2 linked regions of the Nothobranchius furzeri genome follow. The protein of the gene in region 1 purifies or fractionates together with the protein of each later gene. This does not show direct contact. Links are inferred from orthologs where the notes say so. Each region holds a gene or a part of one and is shown on either strand. Other genes may lie near its edges. The genes, in order: parp12a and rnf114.

Region 1 (9,738 bases):
CACCAAATTGTTGTTTGCCAAGTGCTGTAAGACCACAAAAAAGAAGACGATAAAACTGAAAAAGAAGAAGAGAGGGAGCATTTGTAACAAACTCGAAGCGGTAGTGAAAACATGAAGCATGAAATGGAGTTGTCCTGGTGGCTCCAATAAGAGAAAGATGCAGCTTGCTTTAAAAAAGCTTTTATCTTCACTTCTGAAAGTGACGTCGTTTTTCTATGTTAACATCAAAGGAAGCAGAAAGGAAGGACAATGGAAAATGTTTAAAGGGAGGAAAACACAGACCAAAACGGAAAATAGAAGAAAAAAACAGGCAAAAGCACAGGAGCACTGACAGCACTCAAAGGGAGAGAAAGACAGGGAAAAGGAGGAGGACTAATAAAAAGTGAAAATAACTCATGTCAGAAGAGGGGAGTTTCGCAAATCCAGTTAAAGATAACGAAAATTTAGTGTAAGGGGGCCCCATGTCTGTGTTTGCCTTGGGCCCCCAAATTGCTAAATCCGCCACTGAGTCTGTTAGTAGCCTAACACACATCATGTGTTGGCCATAACGTGTATCTTTGTGTACAGCATGCATGGTTTTTACAGCGGGGTTGCCCATGCAGAAGTAATTTACAGAATATCTACTCTGTGGTGGAGGTTTAAAGCAGTCATCTGTGACACGAAGGACACATTTTCAACTGCAGAATGAAATCAACCACTCTATGCCTGTAACTAGGAGAAAGTGCACGTTAGTGGCCTACTTCCAGGGGAGTGGAGGTTCAGATCAGAGACTAGCTTCAGGGAGAGGAGAAATCCCTGAGGAGGCATGAAGTTTCAATCATGGACATAATTTTGGGGGGGACAGGGGGGACATGTTCCCCCCCCACCCCCCCCCCCCACCCCCACTTTTTCCAAAGTCAAGTTTTGACCCCTGCACTTGTTACCATCCAAAAACGATATTACGCTATATTAAATTGACACTGGTTGAGCTCTAGGACCAAGCAGAAAACAATTGTTTGTGTTGAAGCCTGTTTCCCATTAGAACATACTGTAAAGATACCACACACACTTCTAAAGTGAAAATTACGTCCATGGTTTCAATCGATGCATTCCATGATTTTCAAAGTAAAATTCTAAATTCACAGCGGAGACAGGACAATGCACGAATGCGGCCAAAAATGGGTTTGTTTTATTTTTTTCATGATGAAATATTATCACAAGGTGAAAAGCTTGAAAAGGTGAATTTTCCATGATATGGCCCCTTTAATACCACAACAGCAAAATATTTTAGAAACACAGTAATTGTTAGGGAAAAAAACTTAAACGAATAAAATAACATTGACTAAATATTACTCCTTGCCTAGAAATCTAGACTGATTGTAGCAACAGCAAAAAGATTTTGCTCTGCAGGTATTTACATGTAAATGATAGCTTGCCAGGCTACATTACTCCCACATGCAAAATCTAAGATCCCAATGATCAAATATGGTTAAATAAGCTTTGAAAGAGTAAGAAATAGTTAATTATTTTTAAATTAGCTGGTATTAGAATATAGGCTCCAAACGATCAGAAACCTGTTCTGATTCTTGACTTCTAAGTGTTTGTTTCTGCTATGTGGGGGAGTTTCACTGGACTTTGACAATCACCAGAGCTAGTTATTCCAAACTTGATTCTGCTTTCAGGAGAAGAAATGGCTCTCTGTTGGCTCCACTTCCTTCTGTGAGTCTTCAAGGCCATCTGGTAAAAAAAAACAGATACTATGTGTTAGTGTTTTGAACGCTACAACTCGGCGTTTTCCCTTCCCATACCAGCCAGACTTTTGTCGGTGAAGTAGAAAAGATGATTCCATCAGATCATGCTCGAGAAACAATAATAATAATAATAATACCTTTTATTTCAAGCGCCTTTCAAAGCTCTCAAGGTCACTGTACAAGACAAAATATAAGGAACAGCAAGCAATACAAACAAGAAATAAGTGCTAAGAGTAATTGCCAAGGGTAGATTCACAGCAGTACAATGACTAAAAAGAGTAGGTGGAAGGAGGACAGTTACATTGAGTAAGCCAGGCGGAACATGTGAGTTTTGAGTTGAGACTTGAAGGTTGAGAAAGAGATTATATTGCGGAGGTCAGGCGGTAGAGTGTTCCAAAGTTTTGGAGCGGAGTGGCTGAAAGCTCTGGCTCCCATAGTACAGAGACGAGTGCGAGGAACAGACAGGGAAGGTGAACATGATGATCGGAGCGAGCGAGTGGGAGTGACAATGTGGAGGAGATTAGAAAGATAAGGGGGAGCGAGATTATGGATGGATTTAAAGGCATGAAGAAGTATCTTATAGTCAGTTCTGTATTTGACAGGGAGCCAGTGAAGTTGTTGCAGGACAGGGGTGATGTGATCAAAAGTGGAGGTCTTGGTGATTATCCGGGCAGCTGAATTTTGGACTAACTGTTCACCAACACAGTTCACCTGGAGAATGTTAAAATGTCAGTTTACCTCAGCAACCCCAACCTTTGTCTCCCACTTGTGGATGCTCTGCTGCAGTTTCTTGTGTTTGTCCTTGGCACACACATACTCCGTGATACCAGGAGCCTGGTGATGCGCGAGCTGCTCACGAAGGAGCCTGTTCTTGTCCTCAACCTTTAATCGCTCCTGAGGACGGGAGAAAAAATAAAAAATCTGTGCAAAGGAGAAGTTCTAAGAAAGGGACAGAACGTGTTTTATTTAAAACAGATGAATCAAAAAATGAAGAAATTTAAATAATGCCATTTTTTTTACTTGTTTTTTAAAAGTGCTGCTTTTGGGTACTTAATTCTTTTACCGATCGATAAAAAATTACTTTGGACTTTGTAAGCCATAATGAGTTTTAGCTTTTATGCTGTTTAAATACACAAGAATGAACCTTTTCAGCATGATGTATTTCCTGTTCAATTTTTGCAAGCATTAGTTTTCTTTTCGAGATGTCATTGCTCAACTCTGCAGACACCAGCATCACACTCTGCAGCTTCTCCTGCTCTCAAAAGAACACAACGATGCACAGATTTAACTATCTGGATTGTTACGATGCTACACATCACACTAGATGATTCACGGGGAGCTACTGTACCTTGTGCACGCTGAGGACATGCTGTACCTTACTATAGTTGCATCGGTGTTCATCGAGGCTTCTGTCAAATCTGGGTTCATCATACTCGAGGAAATACACCTTCACACAAGGAACAAAAAAGTAATCTGGTTCAAGATTAAAACTCAATGAACAATCTGAAGGTTTTTAAGCGAATGACAAATGAAGCTACTGATTATTTTTGCAAATCCTCCCAGAATACATATGTGACAGCATTTAAGCCATAAATGATATATTTCTTGTTTTACCTGATATTCTGCCTTTTCCATTTCGTTTTTCTGAAGGAGTTTCTGCAGAAGAGTTTTTTCCTGGACCTTCAGTGCTTGATTTTTTAGATTAAACCTCTCCAACTGAACAATCTGTTGGAGAAATGTGGTTTAAAGTACATTTAAAAACTATACATTACTTTTGTGATCAAAAAAGAGGAATTGTTTCTATGCAAAACTTCCTTGTATGTGGTCAGTGAATCAGATTCCATTTTCACCTTTGACCTGTCTTCAGTGTACTGCAGCACCTTCTCTGGCTCCTTCATTTCCAGTAGGCCATCCTTCATAGATTTCATTAACCTGTGTTCAAACTCCTTCTTAGACTTTCGAATCTCAGCTAAACGCAATTCTGCTTCTTTCACAGCGGCCTGGACAGCAAAGCAGAACACTTAAACAAGGATCTGCGTACACAGAAATGATGCGTATCCAAACGTATGTTGTAACCTTGTAGTTGTCCTGGATTTTCTCATATTTCTGTTTAAGCTCTTCGTGATCTTTCCGTGTATCTGTTATTTCTCTCTGTATTAAGAAGATTTTTTGCTCCAAGGTCAGCAGCTGGTCGCAGTCTGATGAGATGTAGCGGGGCTTTTGCCTCCTGTCAACATTCTGAACACACACACACACACACACACACACACACACACACACACACACACACACACACACACACACACACACACACACACACACAAACACAAATATTAATAATGTTTGTATCAAAATCACAATGCAACACTGACACATACAAAGTGGTGGTATTTGGAATGGTTCACATGGGTTGCAATCCGCTCACCACACAGTCCAGTTGGGAGTGTCCAGCTGCTTGTTGACCTTCTCCACCATCCCCCTGAAATTCCTTGGGATCCAGGCGTTTGATAAAGCATTCAAACACGTGATTCTCAGCCAGGAGGGCTACATTAGGATCCCTTGATGACAGCACATAAGTGTCAACAAAACTGACCAAACAATTAGTGCACTTCACTTTAAATATAATGTAAGGGGTTCTTGTCTTTTTGCTATCAAATATGGACCACATATGAAAGAAATCAACTTTAATGTTACGAAAAAATTGTGCTAAATATAGCCATGCTGCAAACAGAAGTGTTAGCATTAGCGAGTGGGTTTTAAAGCCTTAAAATAAAAGTTCTATACATCCGTTCTGTTCACCTTAAATCCTTCTGATGTTTGACAAGAAGCGTTTTATGTTCTTCTGTGACCTTCTTAGTGTTTTCTTTCATCTTGTCCTCCATTGTTGTCGATTCAGTAGTTGCCATGGAGTCGCGTTGCGTTCACGTACCTCCTGGGCAAAAAGCAGAACTATGTAAAAAATGTGTTTTGTGCATTTGTTTACATTTATGTTTGAGACTGTGGTCGTGTTATTTTTGTTCTATTTTTGTTTCTGAATGATTTTATAGTTTTTATTAATTTTTAGGAGTTAGATGTCCTTTTACAGTATCTTGTTTTTCTTTTTTAGTTAAGTTTCTGTTTCGTTTTTCAGCACAAGAGGCGTGTTTTCAGGTCAGCTGTTCCATCATTTAGAGTTCTCTGATAATCTCTTCCCTAGCTCTGTCCAGAATGGCACCGAACTTTTCCAAACTAATTATCGGGATTCTGTGTGACAACCAGGGATGTTTGGACTTCGGGCAGCTGAATGAGCTGGCGCACAGTCATTTCGGCTTTGAAGTGGAAGACTTGCAGTCTATTCTCTTCGATGACGGGTTAATAGCGATCCAAGAGGACAAACAGCAAGTCTCCGGCCTTAACGAACTCAGTCCAGAGGGTCTGGTGGTGGCTAAAACCGCACTGAGGATTTGCCAGAAAAAATACGTACAGTGCGCGAAGTGCGATGGGTTACATCTGTGCAAGTATTTTGTTTGTGGAGGCTGCACGTTTGGGTAAGTTGTCTCATAAAACAATTTAATGGGCTTAGAAACATTATTTAATTTTTTTTGGAGCACATGCACACAAGCTGGACTTTGAGAAAAACTTGACATCCAATTACCTTTAATGTTGATATGTTGTTTTTGTAGAGTGTTTCTGGTTAATTGCTTGTTTTTTTAAAGGAAAGAATACTTTGAAATGACGCAGTTCAGGAAATACTTTACCTTTCCAGAAGGGGGCAGTACATAACCATTATCCCCTCCATCTCAGCCGCTGTACTTGGGGAAAAAATATAATAAAGTCATTTTAAAAAGTAATAAAAAAATGTTTCCACCAACTCAAGTGTGGTTAGGCCTACATGATTTTCCATGACCAGACTGGATTTTGTCCTCAGTATAACAACAAATTTACAATAAACAGCTGTTTAATAGACAGTGAAATGACATTCGTCATCCAGCTATGAATTCATAAACAAACTCAATATGATAATACTTAAACTAAATTAATGCAGATTTAGCTTGCTGTTAATGACCATGAACAATGTTTTCTGGCGTGGCTCGATATTCTGCTTATCAGCCAAGATTTAGATCGATGTATTTTATTTTTTTAATTGAATAAAGTAAACATTTTAAGTCCTGGGCATATTGTTTTTAGACCAAAGTGTAAAAACCCACACAGCCTGGATTCCCCACACAATACAACGGTTTTGGAGAGATTTGGGCTTCAGGAATTGACTGAAAAACAACTGTTCCAACTCTTACTGCAGAATGATCCTTATCTTCTTCCAGAGGTAGGCTTTAGCGGCTGAAAATAATAACCCTTCCTCATGATGGAATAGTATTAAAATTACGTTCTCAACCGTTTCACTCAGGTGTGCTCACATTACAACAAGGGAAATGGTCCATTTGGCTCTTGCCAATTCACGACCTCCTGCACAAAGCTCCACATGTGCCAGCACTCCCTCCAGGGTGACTGTAGGTTTGGGTCTTCGTGTAAAAGAAACCATCAATTTACCGAGAATGAAATGAAGCTTTTCCGGGGCTATAGCGAGGAGAATATTCAAAATCTTTACAAGATCTACAAAAATAAACTCATCATCATGGGCAAACACGAGAGGCAAGCTGTGGTTCTCCCAGGTAAAAAGTTTGTTTTCTGCCATTTTAATCTGAGATGCAAAGATTCTAGACTAAATGTGAGTTTCCTACAGCTCCTCCAAAGATGAACGTTCCACAGCCTCCCCCCTGCAACCCCGGATCTCCCACCAAGCCTGTGTGTCCAAAACCAGTAAGTGCTGCTGGGAGGAATGAAATCTTGCATAACATTTGCACGTCCCGCTGCTTCAAAGGTAATGATTCTGCTGATGGAGCAGACCAGTTGCATCTATAGTGCAGTGGATGCTCATGCATGTTTCACTTAGTTTATTCTTTGTGTGTTCTGTCACAGAGGCTTGTGGTCATGTTCACTGGGGTCTGCCCTACAAATGGGAGGTTTTAGACCAAGATTGTGTGACTTGGAAGGAGTTGCCCAATATGGAGGACATAGAGAAGGCATACAGTGACCCTTCACGTGACACAAGCGCCGTGTGTCTACCGCCATCTGCTTCAAGGTTAGGGCTTCTTGGAGCTTGGAATGTGTGGTACACAAACAAACAAAAATCTGATTTCCTACTCCTCTATGGTTTAAAAATGTTCTTATGAGGGTTCTGTCCTCCTTTCAGGTCTGTGTCTAACATTAAAGAGCCAGTCACCCCTTACAAGAAGCGTACTTCACTCCCACTTCATGTTTGAAAAATGCAACAAATGCTGTTGCCTAGCAGACCGAGAGGGTGGAGCCACTAACAAATACACACACTCATGACATTGTGACATCATAATGTACCAGTTTACATCATAGCATACCTCTTAGCCAATAGCGGTGGCAGATTTAAATTCAAATGCAGTGAAGAGTTTTTACCTGACAACGGCGCAACACTGACAGTTTCAGGCAGAACATTTAAATTTTAACTAAAATGCACCAAAGTGCTAAACTATTGACTACACGTGTCTGCAGCACGATTAGACACGCATTTATATAGTTTATCAGAAAAAAAAGTTGATTTGGGGGTGACTTGCTCTTTAAGAAGTGTGTTGACTTTAAAACCATGACATATGGAGGGTCTAAAGTCCGTCGCCTGCCCACAGCCTCCTCTGTCTTACACCCATCACACTTTACTCTCCCAACACAGTGGGTTTGGTACTGGCAGCATGAGAAAGGGTCATGGCTCGAGTATGGACAGGTAATCTGAGCTGATTATTTAACAAAACTGTGTATTTTAATGTTTGAATTATTTTAAAGGCATATTTTGGCCATTTTGTAGTGAGTCCCTCAGTGAAATGTAGACAATCACCGTCTCACCCTTAGCAGATTGCTTTCTCCCAGGCCTGATTTTTAAGCAATAGCTTTGAGCTAACAGCCAGTCCATCCATCCATCCTTTGTCTGCACTCGCTTTGTTCATGTAGGATGGGGGGGGGTGGGGGGGTGGGGGGGGGGGGGGCTGGTGCCTATCTCCAGCGGTCAATGGGCAATCAGGCAGGGTACACCCTGGACAGAGAGCCAGTCCATCACAGGCTAACAGCTAGTATGAGACTATAGTGCAGGGGTGCCCAATCCTGGTCCTGGAGGGCCGGTGTCCAGCAGGTTTTGTGGTTTTTCTGCTCCAACACACTAAATTAAATGGTTGAATCACCTGTGCAGCATCTCATCAGGCTCTGCAGAAGCCTATTGATCACCTGCTGATTGAAATCAGGTGTGTTGAAGCAGAATTAAAACTAAAACATGCTGGATATCGGCCCTCGAGGACCAGGATCGGGCACCCCTGCTATTGCTGCCTTTTCAAATTTCTAAATGACAAAGCAGTCCATGCTAAATTATTTTAATAGCATAAATGCGGCACTTCTGGTGTATCCATCAACCCTGCAGGAATGTAAAACGTTATGTGCAAATACACGTGGGCTGCATGGTGGCGCAGTGGTTAGCACTGTTGCCTCGCAGCACGAAGGTCGCAGGTTCAAAACTCAGCTGCGGCCTTTCTGCGTGGAGTTGCGTGTTCTCCCCATGCATGCGTGGGTTTCCTCCGGGTACTCCGGCTTCCCCCACAGATCACAACATGCCCTATAGGTTATAAATTGTAAGTCGCTTTGGATAACAAGCGTCTGCCAAATAAATAAACATAAACATGAATGAACTGCAGTGGAGCAGTAACATGTTAGACCTTGATTGTGCTCAAATTAGCCATTAGCTCATCAGTGTAGAATATAAGCCCTTTGCTCATACATGCAGCAAGGATCAAACTAAAACGTAAACTTGTCTTGCCCTTCTCATTTTATTATTATTATTATTTATTTTTTTTTTTTATAAATAATCCATTTCATCTCATTCAAAGTCTAAATTTTCTTTTGTTGCTGCTTTTTCTGGCGTGTTTCTAGGGTGGGGGCGATGTCACAGTCACTTCTCACAGCCTGGAAAAGATGTACCTGGAAAACCGGGAGAAGGAGATTGCTTTCCAGGCTGGTGAACATAAATACGTTCTCCATTTGAATGATGCAGCAGGAACCCAGCAGATGTTCCAGCAGAATGTCGAACACAAAACCAAAAGAGAGGTGCGAAGGAGGCCTCGCTTTGTGTCTGCTGAGGATGTGAAGAAGGCCAAAAAGTAACTTAAGTTATGTATTTTATTATTTATTTAATGTATCATTATATTTCTGTATTAATTATACTTCTGCTGCATTCTTACACAGCTCCAGCAGCTCTTCCACAGATTCAGTTGTCCCATCTCACTGGGACAAGAAAGCCCTGCCTGATTTGGGGTTTGAGGTGCCTGATTATTGAGTACATTTACGTTAACCTGGTTGTTTAGTTCCATAATCATCTCTGAACACATAACTGCACCTTTTGATGACTATGCTATCTTTCAGTTCGTGCTCCTCTCCAGCTCCTCGCCAGATCATAACATGATCCAGACATTGTTCAAATGCACCATGCGTCAAAGCAAAATCAAAAGCATCCAGAGGATTCAGAACCCCTCTCTGTGGAAATCTTTCCATTGGTAAAACGTTGCCAATTCATGAACACAATACTTGGTTGCTTTGCTCGCGGAGATGCTCGGCATTTATACCTTTTATTCTTCACACTGGGAGTGAATGTGCAATGCTTCATTTTCAGCCAGAAAGAGCAGATGCAGAAGACGAATGGTGGGAAAACTGTGGATGAAAGATATTTGTTCCACGGGACAGATGAGCGCCTGGTGGATGAGATTTGCGATCAAAACTTTGACTGGAGGGTGTGTGGATCTCACGGGACAGTGTACGGCAAAGGCACGAAAAACAAGACTAAATGATTTCATTTTTCTTTCCAAAAACATTTTTTCGGTGTTTATAAATGTGCTTATAAATATTCTTTGCAGGGAGCTATTTTGCCAAAGATGCATCCTACTCTAACAAGTACTCCAGAGCCAAA
Region 2 (9,484 bases), on another chromosome or scaffold:
GTCACAAGAGTCTTTAAAGGCCTCCGATATCAGAGGTGTAAACATATACGATTTAAGAATCTGTCACAATTGGTCTGATTAAATTTTGTAGAATACAAATCACTGTAAAAGGAGGTAGTATAACTGGCGATCATAACAGGGTCTGAGTTTATTATACCATTAATATTAAGAGCCACAATGTTGTTTCTTTTCCTGTTTCTTTTTTCTAGAGCAAAAAAAGTTACTGGAGTTTTTCTCTCCTTTCTCTAACCATTTAGCTCTAGACCTTATGAACGCACCTCTAGCTAAATCGACATACATTTTATCAAGTTCATCTTTTAGATTGGACAGAATTTTTAATTCACCTTCAGACAAGTCTTGCTTAGATATTAAGGGCTCTAATTTAACAATTAAATTTTGCATTTTATTTGTGTTCTGTTTCTTTATTTCTTTACGTTTTATTGCTGTTTCCCAAACCTTATATTTGAAAAACTCCCACTTTTGAAATGGATCCATCTCCCTTTCTTTAAAAATTTTCTCTACCAAAAATGAAACACTTTTCTTAAATTTTATATCATCCAAAAGGTCATGGTTAAATTTCCAATAGCCTCTAATACTTGGTCTTTAACTCCTTTTAATCTAAGACTTATTAATTTATGATCTGATGGGGCACGAGAGTGAGAAACATCTGTGACATATTGTAATCCATGTGTAGACATTAACCATAAATCTATTCGTGACTGGGAACTCCTGCTAGAATTGGACCATGTATATTGTGTAGCGTCAGGGTTCATATATCTCCACACATCTGTAAGATGGTAATTTGTACTTAAAAATTCAGTAGGTTTGAAACTTATTGATGTAAACCTTGGAGGAAGCCGGTCCATAATATCATCTGAAACATCATTAAAGTCACCACCAATAATTAAAATGGGGTTATTGTATTTTGCTTTCAAAAAATCCAACTTTAAAAATAATTCCGCCGTCGCGCTTAGAAAAGGAAGCAGATGCCGGTGACGTCACGTCATAACAACAGGAACGGTGCTGTTGGGGGACGGACGCGGAGAAGAAAAGAAATGGCGATGCTCGGAGGTTTCAGCGCTGCACAGCACAAGAAAAGTGTCTCTGACGGCAGCAGCGACGTGTCAGAGTTCATGTGTCCAGTTTGTCTGGAGATCTTCGAGAGTCCTGTAAGAACACAATGCGGCCATACGTGAGTATTTGTGCGTTTATTTCCGACCACCCTCCCCCCTATCCCACCAGCGATGCACTGATACGAGTTAAAAACAAGAAGAAAGGCTTCTGGTTTGGGACATCGTAGCACCAAAGCCATAAAACATCGACCATGCGTGTGTCCGCCTGAACTGATACTCTTATTTCGCTCGAACGGATGAGTAATAAAAACACTCAAGGTAGCTAAGTCAGTTTCAGTTTTGTTTACATCATACAGGAGGCCTCGCTTGGGAGTTGTAGTTTGGCTCGTAGTTGCTGTATCTCATTCAACCACCGGAAAAACTACAAATCCCATCGTCATTTTGAGGTGGGGGACTTTCCTTTGGGTTTACCAGAAGCTAAACACTTGAACATGAAATATAAAGATTCACTTTCTGCTTCATCTATCAAATAATAGGAGTCATTAAAAAAACGTGTCAGATTTAACAAGCCACTCACACGTAGGGTTATGCTCCTGTGACGTGTTTGCTGTTTTCTGATTGGTTCCATTCTGTTTTGTTAGGTTTTGCCAGAGTTGTTTGCAGGAATGTTTGCGTCCTCAGAAACCAGTTTGTGCTGTATGCAGGGCCACTCTGGGCCTGTGCACTAAAGCCACCGAACTGGAGGCACTGATCCAGTCTTCTGTGGCAGCCTGTAAGGGATGTGGAGTTCAGGTATGTTTAATTATTAATGTCCAAAAGCTACAACAGGACACATTTTCATGGATTCACGGGAACTGGGGTTGGAAATCTGTTTAGTCACACATGTTAAGACTAAATTTACTGAATTAAGTCTTCGTATTCAGACAAGATAAAAGACTTGTCCCCTTTTTTTGTAATAAGGTTGGCCTGTCCCAGATGAGAAGTCACACAGCTAATTGTTCAAAGTACCAGGAGTACATCGAGGAGGGGGTGAGGACCACTTCCCAGAGCCAGCCTCCAGTTATCAGGTGAGATGCAACACACACATTTGTGACCCAATTCGGGCAAAACTCCAGACATTAGTTATCTCACACACCGCCTGCTGAAGAGCACACCATTGTGCTTTTGTTGTGTTTCGCTGTTCTGTAAGCAGGAGATATTGTGGCTGAGCCTCATCACCAAGTGGGAAAGTAAGTTGTGGCGTGGCAGCAGGTCAGTGTTGGTTCAGGTTACAAGTTTGATGCCAGATAAACAAACGTATTCTCTGAAGGCACAGACTGAAGCTGGTTTTGTTTCATTTAATCAAGGTTTGATACAAATTAAAGGAGCAATCGTTCTTTTCTCCTGGAGACATGTTCATCACTTTTTCACTATTTGTTAAAAGAGTCGGCTCACGACCGCCGAAACCGTTTAGGTCTTCCACGATTATGAAATCCAAATAAATTTTAAAAAATCATCAGAAGTTGGGCCTTACGTGCCGAAACAAAATGGCGTGGTGCTGCAGGTAAAACCACAAGTGAAAGTAAGTTTAAGCAGAAAGATCCAGTAACAGAGTGACGCTTTGGATCAAACTAACATGTTTACGGTTTGCTGGACCTGACGAACCAAATAAATGCGTTTCTTCATCACCTGGTAGTTTAAATTAGCCTAGTGAACTAGACCAAATTCTTGCTTTGCAAAGAATGGTCTAGGCACGCTCCATTGGAACCTCAGCAGCTCCTACCAGGACTCTGGCTAGCCAATCACAGCTCTCTAGAGGGGTTTCAAACACATAAAGAGCTGTGATTGGTCCATAATGGTGGGCCAATCATAGTGCTCTATCTGCTTAGTGAACAAATCACAGAGCTTTATCCGCTTTGTGGGCCAATCAGGGTACTCTATATATGCCTGGTGGGTGGGATGATGCAACAGAGGGAAACAAGAGTATAGCCTGGTTTATGCTTCTCCGTCAGCTCCGCAAGGGACAGACACGCACGGATTGACGGAAGCGTTTTGCTCTTTTACTTCTCCGTCTCCTGGAGAGTGTTGCAAAGCAATTCCCCGGCAGGACAACAGAGGGTGTAGCGCTGTTCTGTGGTGTCCTGTCATGTATCGGTCCAAGATAGTGTGTTTATATAGTGTTTTTTGTGTTTATAAGAGACTTTTAACACGGACATATTTGTCTCTCATTCTCCCACCGCTTCATGCACTCCCCACCTCTAAACCCACGTTTCCTGTCATTTCCGTCCACAAATAAAACGCTTGCTGCGCATCTTTTCTCTCCTCCAGTCACGGGAGAATTAAACGTTCATATTTTTTGAGTTTTTTCGTGAGATATTCTTCAAGCTTCTCCGTGTCTGCCGCTAGTTATCCTCGGCTCTCGTTGCAATGGCGGCGCTGTAAACAACAGCGGCATCCTGACCAATCACAAGCTTGCGTAATCCGTCTCGTTCGACGGATGTTTAAAAAAGTGGGCTCGACTCCGTACGTACTTGCGTGCCCTACGCAAGGACGGATAATGGCGTTGCGTGTCTCCGCACTGACGCAGACGGAGAAGCATAAATCAGGCTTATGTCACATTCATTGTCCAGTGGAATGCGGAGATCATTTGAAAGACAACGGTAGAACCCGCCCCACAACCGAGAGCCGTCAATGGAGCGTGGCCAGACTAAATAATACATTTATTTAGTCTGGCTTGCCAGGCTAAGTTTAAATGCCATAACATCTTTTCACGATAATGACAAATGTTGGAGAGTTGGATGGATGTAGGCAGAATAAAGTCGATTCGATCAGACTAAACAGGAAATATCTTGGTTTCAAATAAAAACTAAATCTAATCAAACCTTTTCTCTCCTGATAAAGATCTTCGGTTTTGCATGCAAACATGTTGGTGCACGTGGCTTAGTGTCGTGAAGTCAGACGCAAGTGGATTTCTGCTTTCTCTATTATTACCACTGACTCTCATTAGGGAGGGGAGGGGGAAAACCAATCACATTTTGTTTCCTAAAATAAAAACACGCACACACTTCTTCCATCGGTCCAAGAGAGGTGATAGATGTGTTTGATCTATGCTGAGATTTTGCAACTGAAAGCTCATTTACTTGGTTTCAATGATAAAAAAAAATGGATCTTGTAAAGTTGAGTCCCAGAGATTTAGTTCCTGCCAGAACTGAAATGAAGTCATACTGACGTTTACTGATTTGTATTCACAAGAGATTAAAAGTGTAATAAAATAGTCATAAATCAAGTTCATATGGTATATTATGATAAACCACAATTACTGTAATGGCAGCTATTTGTTTTTGCTGTGTAACCTTATGATCTGTATGTACTTTTCTTATGCGAGTCACAGATCCTCACTCATGTTTTCATAAAATGTTCCGTGTCTCTCTTCCCCTGTCTAGCGGTTTCTGCAGGTTGTGGGTAGGGTTACCATTATAGTCTGAGAAATAATCCTTGATGGCAACTGGTCAGAGTTATGGTTAACGCATCACATTTATTAAAGTCATCACTTAAGGGATATTCCACCCCGGAGTTAAACGTAGCTTGTTGCCACATTCCCCAGAGTTGGAGAAGTCTGTAAAAACATTCTGTAACAGTCATTTTCCTAATCTGGCAGTAACCTGTTAGCTTTAGCTTAGCATAAACAATGTAAGTGAATGGTAACAACTAGCACTGTCTCCTCCGTGTTTACTGTACACCATTTACAACATTTCACCTTTCTATTTCTATGATATGATTATTGAGGTCCCCAAGAAAAATTAGGATCATTATTGAGAAATGTTTATGAATTATTATAATGCTAGCTGTTACCATTCACTTATATTGTTTAAACTAAGCTAAGGCAAACAGAATACTGCTACATTAGAAGACTGGCTGACCTCTTTACAAAACGTCTTTTCCCACTTAGCTGACTGAGGAATATGGCCACAGACTGAATTTCACTTAGGGTGGAATATCCCTTTAAGGACGGAAGCACCTAATAAAATGAGACGCTAACTTCCTTCTAGTGTAATAGTTGGATGTCTTTAAATATAATTTCTCCTTGTTGACATCTGTATTTTCATTAGTAAGAATACTATTTAGACAAGGATACATTATCTTATTGCTGTGTAGGAATTACAAAGAGGTGCTGTTGAATAAATGTTAAAATGACTTGCCGTACTTAACTCCTATATAGACAATACAAGGGAAACGTAGTACAACAGTAATCCATGAACCCTTGTTCACTGATTGTTCTATTATTATTATTAAATCACTTCAGTTGCTAATGTAATCTGACTCAGTTGGAGCTTATGTGTCTGCTTGATGATCCCAGAGGTGATGAAACAAGTTGGAGATGCCACATTTTTTTTCTTCATATGGGCAAGCCATTGTCCCGAATTCCTTTTTTTAACGTCTTTCAGAATCGCATATATTCCCACACAGGAATTCTCATGCACTTCCTAGGTGGAAACGGAGCTTCTGCCGTGATCCGGGTGCATCCATTCGAGTTAGACTTTTTGTCCATACGGGTCGCACCATTTGTTTTATTTTGGTGATGATGTTGGAGAAGTGTTTCACTCCGCGTTTAATAGTAAAGCCGGTTAACAGCTGCAACCCTAGTCATGACTGTGGACTATCTCTGCTAGCTCCTGTGAGGGTATTCCCAGTGCAGCATAGAGATCTAATCCCTCTAGCTCATCCTGGCCTTTGGGTTCCCAACCCCATCTTTAAGGCTGAGTCTTCCCACCCTGCAGAAGTATCTCATTTTGGCTGTTAGTCATAACCCAAAGCTCATGTCTTCTGGACCAGTAAATCAAAGTCTTCACCTTCCATCTTGGCTTTCTCTTGAACAGATTAGTTTAGTGTGCCCATCACTGCAGCCGCTGCCCAGATTCACCTGTCTGCCAGTGGCGTGTGTGCCCTCTAACTGCAGTGAGGTGATGAATAAATATCAACATAGTGTTTCTGTTTCCTTCCCATAGTTCGGTGCCAAACAGGTACACCTTCTCCTGCCCCTACTGCAACTGCCAGAACCTGGATCAGGATGGCCTGGTTGAACATTGCACTTCCCAGCATGCTCGAGATCCACGCCAAGTGGTAAGGGATCCACATGGTTCTGTGATCGCCCTCATCCTACAAACTGTCTGCTTAAGTCAGTTCTTTGGTGCAGGTGTGCCCTATCTGCGCCTCGATGCCTTGGGGGGATCCTAATTACAGAAGCACCGACTTTTTCCAACACCTTAAGATCAGACACACATTCTCCTATGATACATTTGTTGTAAGTTAAACACTATTAATAATTTAATGTTAACCTTGCCAAATAAACCCTTATTAATTATTTTTTCCTTTCTTCCCTGGCGCTCGTTCATCTTAAGGACTACTCCACAGACGAAAACACAATGATTCAGGAGGCTTTACAGCGCTCCCTTTTGGACAACTGAAGAGCGAAGAACAATCTGGCAGAACCAGAAATTTAGAGAAAACGGGAGGAAATTGTCTTGAAAAGATGCAACTATACACTGTCATCATGCATCTGGTGTAACTGAGCTGCTTTGGGTAATTATTTTCACGGGGATGTTATGTTGTATCTATAAATCTGTAGGTTTAATAAAAAAATCTGTCAATATGTTAAAAAACATTGTTCTGTTTGCTCTAGGAGTGTCAGTGTTTATCCTTTCTTCTCCTCCACTGAGCCTGTCCACTTGATTTGTAGTCAGCATCTCCTTAATTATGTTTTAAGTAATTTGTTTAATAATGAGCAAATGTCATTTAACCAAAAAACTTCCAAAGTTGTGATTAAAAATGTTGTCAATACTTGATGTAATGAGGTGGTTTGACCACTAGGTGGCTAACTAGTGCAGCAAAGACGAACTTGATCAATAGGTTGTCCTATCAGTGAGACGACATCCTGCTTCTGATTGGCTGTGCATGAGAACTCTCTTAAGGCAATGTGTTCCTTTTTCTTGTTGTCGTTTCCTGTCAACGTGTGTGTGAGAGTGATGAATGTTGGTTTTTTTCAGAGATCTGGGAAGAATAAATAACGAGGGTTGAGCAGAGTCAGAGACAGCTGTTTGCTTCATTGTAAAGTTTCTCCTTTGTGTCTTTGTGCCTTCTAGTAGATCGTGTTTCTAACTTCCAGAACTCCACAGGGCTACTTGTTCATGCAAGGCATCTGAGGTCTCATTTGATGAGCCTGATGCTCTTACGTTTAGTTCTAGTGTAGTTGCACGTTCATTACCACAGGGGACAGTAGAGTTCTACTCTATCCATGGTGTCCGGTGACACTCCCAAGCCTCTGAGTTTATACAAGTCATTACATCTAAATTAACAGCGTTTTCCCCACAAATACATGATTTTGTTCATATGCAGCAAATAAAAATGTGTATTTAAAGTAATGGTGTAAGGCTAATCTATCTGAAATACAGCTGAAACTGCAGTTAAGGTGAAATCACTGGACAAATGTGTCACGAACATTAAAATGAACTAGCTGTAATGTTTGGGATAGTCTTTATAATGAGTAAACATGATAAAGTTCATGTGTATTTTTTATTTATATTTCTGGTTTGAATTAGAACCAAACTATCATTTGAAGTTAAATAACTATAACTAGTCTTGTTTTCTGAGTGTTTTGTTTTAATTTGTAAATGTAAATTAAACCAGTTGTCTTTAATATTTATGGTCAGGCTCATGTTAATACCTTCATGCTTTTTTGATTAAACAGCTAAACTGTCTAAACATGCAGTTTAGCAGCTCTAGTGCTGAACCGTTTCACCTTCACAGCCGCTCCTTGGTTAGGCCTATGGATGCTTTCAGTCTAGTTTTAAAATGTGTCATCATGTGTGTTTCTGGTGTATAGTAACATTTTCTTCTTTCTTGGGGTGTGTGTGTGTGTGTCATTCTCTTTTGTCAGCTCTACTGCCAGGAGGTGTTAAATCCTGATGAATTAAAGCTCTTTAATTATTTAAACCCTGGCCCCGGAGATCAGGTGCTGCAACTTATACCTGTGTGTGTGTGTGTGTGTGTGTGTGTGTGGTGGGAGGAGGAGTGGATAACCATGTTGTGTATGATGACATAAGGAAATGATGAGCTGTGTGGAAAACTCCATATTTGGTTGTTTTCAGAATAAAGACAAGAATTGTAAATTTGATGTAGAATAAAGAAGAGCTTTCCACAAAACTTCTGAGTCCTCTTCAGTCGACATCGTTCACATGGGAGATTAAATCCTTACAGCTTCTAAATCTAATCGTCAAATTATATCACTGTTATCTACAAAGAGACTAAACTTCATGTAAGCTCCCCCACCTCCTCGTTTCTTATATTTTCATCCCTTTCACCCTAATCGGGTTTTTGCTCCTGGCAGATGCAGAAGTGATGTTAGCTGAGAGAGAGAGAGAGAACTAACGAGATACCCAAGTGCTTCTGGGCAGGAAGGAAGTGGAGTCTAAAAACATGGCAGAAAGAAGTCTTTCTTGTCTGTTTGGTGGCACATCTTAAAAGGGAGTGAGAAAGGCGGGGAATGTTAAAGGTAAGAAGGAATAGGGGGAGGAAAGGAAGAGAAGTGAACACATTGAATAAAAATTTCATAAAGTACTGTGTGTGGTTTCTTTGATGAAAGTGTGGATGGTGTGTGTGAAGTCTGCAGGCTCCGTGGAGGCTGCAATTAATGCTACATGAAGCCAAAGGGCTCAGTGAGAGGCACACGGGTGCTCCATTGTTTGGAGCTACATCTTGAACCTTCTTGTCCACCTTTGATTAAAACCTGATCACGTGGGCTCAGATCCTGGATGCAATTAATCTGATTTTTTGTTTTCTAGATGCAATTCCTTTGTAGTGAAGATAAAAACCAATATCTGAAAATTACACTAAACAAGTTTGGTTTTAAGGAAGTCCCATCAATCAAAGGCATTAACTTGTTTGCATGAGTGGCTGCTGTCATAATAAGTTTGCATGTACGATCTTAAAAAAACATTTAACAGTGCAAGACTCAGAAACTCCTAAAAAGCTTACATCTCCCTCTCTCAAGTCTTTGCTGAGACAGGTATCTGTGATGAGGTGTGTGTGAGGAAAGCACTGGGAGTTCGCTCACCCAAAAATTCCTCAAAGTCAGGAGAAACAGGAAGAGTGGGAATCCTGCTTCCCGGGTTACTGCAGCACCGCGGCAGGTCGGTCCTCGCAAATGTTTGAGCAAAAAGTGCCAGTGGGCTTCCCCGACATCAATACTGGTTCTACACCAACTCGTCTTCCGCTTTTAAACTCTTAACAACCTGCCCTTGCCATGCACACACTCACACACGCACACACTCACACACATGCACACACTTGTGTTTGCCTGAGAGCATCAAGTCTTAACTTTGATTCTAAAATGCCTGCAACCAACTTAATCCTGCATCAGCTGAACTTGCACACGT

Evidence for each region.
Region 2: the proteins of parp12a (region 1) and rnf114 purify together in Homo sapiens (affinity purification with mass spectrometry; 3 studies listed by BioGRID and IntAct, counting the BioPlex papers as one, with this or other methods). This does not show direct contact. The link is inferred for Nothobranchius furzeri from reciprocal best matches to the Homo sapiens genes PARP12 and RNF114.

Annotation. Positions count from the first base shown.
Region 1 is NC_091744.1:78,748,733-78,758,470, forward strand, and holds the start of parp12a (protein mono-ADP-ribosyltransferase PARP12), read left to right. Parts: upstream 1-4,880; 5' UTR 4,881-4,937; coding exon 4,938-5,257; intron 5,258-5,897; coding exon 5,898-6,033; intron 6,034-6,114; coding exon 6,115-6,379; intron 6,380-6,450; coding exon 6,451-6,588; intron 6,589-6,686; coding exon 6,687-6,849; intron 6,850-6,960; coding exon 6,961-6,974; intron 6,975-7,357; coding exon 7,358-7,518; intron 7,519-8,708; coding exon 8,709-8,935; intron 8,936-9,020; coding exon 9,021-9,096; intron 9,097-9,197; coding exon 9,198-9,328; intron 9,329-9,444; coding exon 9,445-9,596; intron 9,597-9,685; coding exon 9,686-9,738. Other genes in the region: cfap263 (cilia- and flagella-associated protein 263), read right to left, coding at 1,573-1,716, 2,469-2,624, 2,875-2,982, 3,079-3,177, 3,345-3,455, 3,581-3,730, 3,807-3,968, 4,156-4,288 and 1 more.
Region 2 is NC_091755.1:60,300,151-60,309,634, forward strand, and holds rnf114 (E3 ubiquitin-protein ligase RNF114), read left to right. Parts: upstream 1-767; 5' UTR 768-986; coding exon 987-1,192; intron 1,193-1,714; coding exon 1,715-1,865; intron 1,866-2,033; coding exon 2,034-2,140; intron 2,141-6,058; coding exon 6,059-6,173; intron 6,174-6,246; coding exon 6,247-6,354; intron 6,355-6,451; coding exon 6,452-6,517; 3' UTR 6,518-7,132; downstream 7,133-9,484. UniProt on the Homo sapiens protein: E3 ubiquitin-protein ligase that promotes the ubiquitination of various substrates. In turn, participates in the regulation of many biological processes including cell cycle, apoptosis, osteoclastogenesis as well as innate or adaptive immunity.